Arabidopsis thaliana: one gene and its partner. The protein of the gene in region 2 interacts with the protein of the main gene of each other region in a pairwise test. Each region holds a gene or a part of one and is shown on either strand. Other genes may lie near its edges.

What was found.
Region 1: the proteins of AT1G19000 (region 2) and AT2G15740 interact in a two-hybrid assay, tested with the Arabidopsis thaliana proteins (one large-scale study listed by BioGRID).

Annotation. Positions count from the first base shown.
Region 1 is NC_003071.7:6,856,175-6,860,005, forward strand, and holds AT2G15740 (C2H2-like zinc finger protein), read right to left. Parts: upstream 1,562-3,831; coding exon 572-1,561; downstream 1-571.
Region 2 is NC_003070.9:6,560,609-6,564,549, reverse strand, and holds the start of AT1G19000 (Homeodomain-like superfamily protein), read left to right. Parts: upstream 1-1,758; 5' UTR 1,759-1,865; coding exon 1,866-2,166; intron 2,167-2,358; coding exon 2,359-2,567; intron 2,568-2,867; coding exon 2,868-3,215; 3' UTR 3,216-3,941.

The DNA of each region.
Region 1 (3,831 bases), on a different chromosome or scaffold from region 2:
AAATTTTACATATAGAATTACATATATATAGTTGTATTCTACCATGCATTTTAAACTTATTCCATTCTACAACTCATTTATGCATTTAAAATTTTGAAGTATGATCATTTTTAAATTTTTTATCAGTTAAAAGTTGAATTATATTTTTATAATATTATTTTTTTATTATTTTAATATCTCATTTATTTACATAATTTATTTTTCATTTATTTAATTATTTTTATTAATTATAAGTAATAGAAATATGCACTAAATGAATGTTTTAAATTTATTTTAATGTAAAATAAATAGTGATGTTTAGATGGGTGCTTAGGTGGATGCTTATGTGGATATATTAGATGGAGCAAGGACTCTCCTTAATAATAACAACAAAATATATACTGTTTTGTTTATATTGAACCAAACCAAATAAAATAAACAGTAAACAGTATATATATAGATTTGAGAATTTGATTTGGTTCAATTTTGGTTTAGGAATAATAACAACAAAATATAATGAAATACTAGAATTAAAAGACAAATATTAATTTCATATAATATATTGAAAAATAGATATTAAGGAGATACAATCCTAAACAAGCTCTTCTTTTACGACCACAAGATGTTGGAAAGTTTTATCGTCACTTTTTTCACTGTTGTTGGCCACATCCTCTTGTTTGGTCTTTTGAGGCTCACCATTAATTTCACGATTTAGTTTACAAAATTTTCTTTTGTTCTTTGCACGAATTCTCTGTTCTCTTTCTTCGCTTGTTTCATTCTTGTAGTGAGATGACATATGTGCAGCAAATTTTTGAGAAGTATTAAAGACGCCATTGCACTTGGGACATGTATATGGACCATATTTTTCATATGGTAGACTATGTGTCCTACCATCATTGTGATCATTGTTACTTTTCTCGTTTTCTTGAGACTCAATGTAATCAGTAGTTGCTTCAAAAAATATGGTTGGTTTCAAGATTTTCTTCATAGAACGACCATCTTGGAGAACACGTTGATCATGATTGTGCTTTGATGACAAGGAAAACATGTCTAAATGTTGAGGATATGCAGAATTTTGACTCGGAAAAATGACATTAAGAGGTTTAGGATTCAAAAATTCGCATTGTTTATCAAAAGTATTTGGAGGAGAAAATATAGGATTCCAAATATTGGTTTTGGGATTCATGGCACGTTTGACACGTTGAGCATCATATTGTACAGCGTCAAGTGTATTAGTAGGAACAATGGCTGTAAATTTGTTTGTAATGGTTTGTGTGAAAGAAACTCGAGTAAAATGAGGATTGTTTGTGATAGAAAAATAATTGTCATCAGAAATTATGTTTCTCTTCATCATATGATTTTCCACATGTGAATTTTGGAATCCAAATGAAGATGAAGAGGCATGTGAATTATGAAAACAAGAAAAAGAAGGAGATGATGAAAACAGATCACCATGGTTTGTGTGATCCGAAGTAATGAACCTCGAATGAACCATTTGAGAATTTTGATTCATTTGGATGGAGGAAAAACCACGATTGTTATCATCACAGTGAGGATTGAACTTATTTGGCATAGAAGACATTTTGAAAGATAGATAGAGTATATATTTTCTATTGTTTGTCTTACCCTTTTATATCAAATACAAACTACGTAATAAATATATTAACCTCAAAAACGGAAATTAATCTTTAAATGCGAAAGGAAAAAAATCTACTTTATGTTCTCTATTATAAAATTATATTAAATATTTATAAATAAAAGAATCTTTAATTATTCATTTATTTCCCTGCAATCATCTTTATTTATTTGGTAATATATGGATGCAATATAAAATTTGATTTCCTGTCATATTCCTTGATTCAGTAATTGAAAATATGGACAAGATCCAGATTTAATATATATGTTAACATATATAAGGTAGTTTACTTTAGGAAATATATATTCATAAAGAGCATTTGTTGATGTTGTGTCTTCTATCTTAATTTTGTTTGGTGATATTACTTATTTGGATCCCTATTTAGTTCTATAAGTTTATTTACTAATTATTATTAAATAAATATTTATAGTTTGCATTGTGTAGATTTGCAATCTTATCTTCTAATAAAAGTTTTTATCGAAAATCTTATCTTGTAAGTTATAACTTAGTAAGTAACCATATATAATAAATGAAAATAGTTATTCCGGGATCACCTTCATCATTTAAAAGCAAATAAAATTTAACATTTGTTCAACTACTAATGCATATAAAAGCCTATGAAAATATCTTAACAAAAAAAACTATACAATTTGAAGGTCAATATGTTAAAAGTCAATAAATTAGAAACATAAAATAAATAAATATTAAACTTAATTCAGAAGCAACATAAACCATCAACAAATGAGTTTTTAGTGCATCCTTTCATTGTTTTCTAGGTGATTTAATCGCCATATTCAAACTAACGAAGATAACTTAATCTTACTGCAAGTAAAGAAAAAAATTAACAACAAAAAATAGTTTTAGAAAGTTTTAAACAACTAAAGAAGAAAAACCAGAACTAGAAAATCATAACACACAAAAGAACATTCAATAATAATTAAAGAGATAACAAATTATCAATAATAGAGAGAAACAATGACAAAAACAATTAGAGAACAAATTACGGAAACAAAGAAATATACGAAAATTTAGAGACGTGAAAAAGATAGATGGAACTAATGAAAGATATATAAAAACAAAAACTAAAAATGGTAAATTGAAAATGTTAAATTTTTTATAAAGTCCAAATAATTTGGATGGAATAGATACTAGGATCATAAAGAAAAAGAAGAAAATAAAAAAGTAGAGAAAAGAAAGTGAGATAAAAAAATTATTTCTTTACTTACACATGTTATAGGTTTTTTTAACGACTGATGACAGCATATTTATTTTGGCATAGTCAATGAATGCTTATGTTTCAAATATTTATCAACGTTTAATTCATGTTTTAAATAACTGCAGATGAAGTTGATGTTTAAAATAGCTAAAATTTGAAAGTTAACTAACAGAGTCGTTAAACGGGTGATAATGTGCATTAGAGGTTCCGACTAATAATGACATGTTTATTTTGTCATGATCAACGAATATTTATGTCTCAAACGTTAATTAATATTTATTTCATGTTTTAAATGACCACATATGAAATTACTGTATAAAATGGCCACAATTTAAAAGTTGGGGGAGTAAATGACCGCATCCTCTAGTTTGATATTTTTATGATCGCCATGAACTGCTTAAATAATTTAATATATATATCTAGGAAATCTCAATTTTCTTTTTGTTAGCAGCACTCTTGGAGTGAAATGATATATGTCGAACAAATATTTAAAAATGTGAAATTCAATATATATATATATATATATATATATATATATATATATATAAAAGAGGTGAGTTCATACAACTTAAGCTTAAAACATTACATGAAAGATAAGGATAAAGGTTCAATGAGTTTTCCAAGATGCATAACTTTAACAAGATTGCAAAGGCTACAAGATCTTTTGGAATCTATAGAGATTCAAATTTAAAGGCTAGCTGCAAAAAATATCGGATCATCTTATAACCATAATAAGCTCGTGCGATTAACGCATAAGAGCTTTCATTGAATTGCTCCATGGAAGAGGCTGTGGGTGGAGTCTTTTTCCCGATGGCGGAGTAAAGTTTCGGAGAAGGTATCTCCTTAAAAGTGATGCAAGACTCGGAATTTACCTAGGGTTTACGCTTCTCGGTTTCTCAGCCAACGGCTTGAATGATTCGATGGAACGATGGTAGAGATGGAAGATGGAGGTTTTGTCGAATGAATCCACTCTCAACACGCATGATTGAATCCACAATCA
Region 2 (3,941 bases):
TAAACCCCCATGCTTAAACTTCGATGGGATATGATCATGACACCACGTTAATTTTTAAGTTAAAAAAAAAAAAAACTAACAAGATAAAGCGTAAAAGTTTTAAGTCTCTAGTTTGTTTTAAATCACTAATTGCAACAACAAAACATTTTTACAATGGAATACTTCTAATGTTGAATGATTTGAGTTAAGACGACCAAAGATTAAGAAGATAAACCAGAGAGAGTCGATAGAGATAGAAAGGTTAAGTTCATGTGCTGAACCAAGATTATTGGAGAAGCTCATCATATACTCTTTTCTTTTTGTTAAACCGTGTTACATCATTAGCTAGACTCCAATTTTTTTTAAGTTTTATGATCATTGTGATTTGTAAAGAAATTTGTTATAGACATTGAACTTGTAATCTCTTATTTAATTTGCAAAAAACAATATTTAACCAACTGATCAACAACGGTCATTTAATCGTACAATATAATTCTTATAAAATATCATGTTTATTTGCGAACATATAAAGTCAACCCCGATCAGCAACAACCTTCTCCAAAATTTGTGTGAATTCAATTATTTCTTCACTATATTTGCAAGAATGTGGTTATACTATACTTTTGTGTGATATTTTCAATTAAAATAGAGTTTAGTGATATGATCCACATGACAATATCCCTTAAAACATGATTAGTCAGTCGAATTAATCGGTCATGTGTTTCACTAGTGGTGTGAATGTGAATCAATCAGTTTGTAAACTATGAGGAGATTCATACGTTAATCATGCTTGTAACTTGTAAGGGATTATCATCATATCTGGTTTTAAAAGGACAATTTGCAAGGGAAATTAAAACTTTAAAAGGCTATTAATTGAAGGGGAAAAGGAAAAAAAGAAGAAGAGAATTGATGGATACATAAAATACTAGCTAGTATTTAAAGTGATGAGGATATCATGTGCTCCCATTGGCCCCATGTCTTCATCAAATATTTTGATGCCACAATTTGGAATATTCTTTTGATTAGTTTATCAATCATTTAATCCTAACCAGAAGTAATTTGTATTTCAATAAAAACAATGTTCTAAAAGGGATTTGGAGGATTAATTTAGATTAAAGCGAAGGATGAAATAAAGAGTACTAACAGATTGAGATTATCAAGGTAACTTTTTGGTTGCTTGTGTGATTCGTTACAAGCTAGCTAAAATAAGATAATGGTTTTTATATAAAGGTAATCAGGTTGGATGTAATCGGGAATCGCACTAAGTAAGTTGACCAGATTCGTTTAACACTAACATTACATTATAAAACACACTTATAATACCATCTTATACAGTTTAATTATGAACTACCATTCAAAAATCACATTTCATCTTCATGCGCATGACACACCATACTTCCTTTACCAACTTTTTTTTTCTCATTTCTATATTCAAATCATCAATAAGAAAATCACACTAGAAACCATTTTTTTTACGTGAGAGAAGGACGTCGAGACACATTCACTTTGCTTGAACAAAAAAAAACACATTTAATTAAAATGACAAAAATAATGAATAGAGAGAGAGACATTATCAGAATATATCCAAAGAAAATAACTCATTAATTAATAAATCCAAATGGAAGAAATGATAAATATAGAGAGACAAGCAGGTCACAGAGGAAACGAGTGACGAACAAATCATAAATAAACACGTGTCATGTTATCGTAATAACACACAACAGAGTAAGTAATGCCACGTGGCTTATCGAGTTTTTATAAAGACAAGACAGAAGAAGTAGCTCAGATCCACTCACACCTCGTCTCCTAATCTGTACGGTTCTTATTTCGAAAGGGTAAAAACCAAAAGCGACGCAAAGGGCAAAATCGGAAAAAGTGTTTTATTTATGGCCGCCGTTAGTAGTTCGTCGGAGACCGGAGACTGCGGCGTTACGGGAAAGAGAGATGAGATCATGTTGTTCGGAGTTAGAGTCGTGGTTGATCCGATGAGAAAGTGTGTGAGTTTGAACAATCTCTCTGATTATGAAAAGTCTTCTCCGGAGGATGAGATCCCTAAGATAGTCACCGCCGGAGCTGGAGATGGTGAAGATAAGAACGAAACGGATGCGACGGTGATTGTCGCTGACGGTTACGCCTCCGCCAATGACGCTGTCCAGATTTCGTCTTCTTCCGGCGGGAGGAAACGAGGTACTACTCTTTTTCTGATTCTGATAAGAGCTTAGGATTCTGATTGATTGTATTATTAGAATGTCTCTAATTTGAATCTTATCCAATTCGTGATTGAATCTATGCATGTTGGAATTTATGTCGGTGATTGATTGGTTTTGAGCTATGGATTCGTTGTCGTTGATTATTGTTTGTTTGTGTTGAACAAAACAGGGGTTCCATGGACAGAGAACGAGCATAAGAGGTTCTTGATTGGGTTGCAGAAAGTAGGAAAAGGAGATTGGAAAGGAATATCAAGAAACTTTGTGAAGAGTAGGACTCCTACTCAAGTAGCTAGTCATGCTCAGAAATACTTCCTCCGACGAACCAACCTCAACCGTCGCCGAAGAAGATCTAGCCTTTTTGATATCACTACTGAGACGGTAAATCTCTACTCTTATCCTAAATCATTTTATGTTAGCTAAATCATATGTGAATGAAAAGGTCTAGACTTTAGCTTAGTTGATAGAACTTAACTTTCTTACTTTCTTTGGTGTTCTCTGCTTTCTCAAAGCTCTTTCCTTTCTTAGGTTTTTAGTATTTCTTCTTTAGAACTTAAAGACAAAGTAATATGGAGAAGTATCATAATGATTTTTGGTCTAATTGGGTATATATCTTTTAAGTTGTAGTTTATAAACAATAATGGTAAGTGTGTGACAGTTAGGTGTGATTGGTTTGATCAGGTTACAGAAATGGCCATGGAGCAAGATCCTACTCAGGAGAACTCACCACTACCTGAAACCAACATCAGCTCTGGACAGCAAGCGATGCAAGTTTTTACTGACGTGCCGACAAAAACTGAGAATGCACCAGAGACATTTCATCTCAACGATCCATATCTGGTTCCAGTAACCTTCCAAGCAAAGCCAACATTCAATCTAAACACAGATGCTGCTCCACTTTCTCTCAACCTTTGTCTGGCATCCTCATTTAATCTTAACGAGCAACCCAACTCAAGACACTCGGCTTTCACGATGATGCCAAGCTTCAGCGATGGAGATAGCAATAGCAGCATCATCAGAGTTGCTTAGAGCTTAAACCCAAGGTGAATCTACAAGACCTTGTTTCTTTCTTTGTTTCTCTGTTGTTGTAGTACTAGTAGTACATATTAGGTATAAACAGATAAGAAAAAAGAACCCTATTAAGTCTCAGTCCTGTTTTTGATCTTTCTTTAGGCCTTACTTTGTCAAACTTTTATGTATTTTGTCTGAAAATATAATCAGGGGAAAAAAAAAACAGAACAAAAACAGAGGAAGGCTATAGAGATTGATGGACAAACTGTGTCTAGGGTGCTTCATCATCTTTGTTTGTTTGTAAAACTCTTGTCACACACACTGTTATGAGTCATTTTCTGCTGTGTGTGTTTTGTTTTGTGGTGATGTAAGTTAAAAACAAGCGTGATTCTCATGTGGCCCATCTCAATCAATGGTTGGTGATTTGTGGGGTTTTTAGGCTTTTCTATTATCTTATCTTTTGGGGATAAGATAAAAGCCTAAAACTGTATGTAACTATGTATGGTTCTTCGAATATTTTATCATTTATCTCTAATGTCATAATAATGTTGCCAATTTCATATGCCACTTCGACTTTTGTGGATTTTTTTTTTTCTCTTTCCCTAGCAAACACCATTTTTCCCTATAGTACATGACAATCCAAAAAACAGAGTAAATTTTAAAGAAAAAGAATCTAATTTTGTCAATTTTACTTGTCTGCGATTAGCCGTTATTTCAGGTATTATTGGTCAAATTAATTCTTTT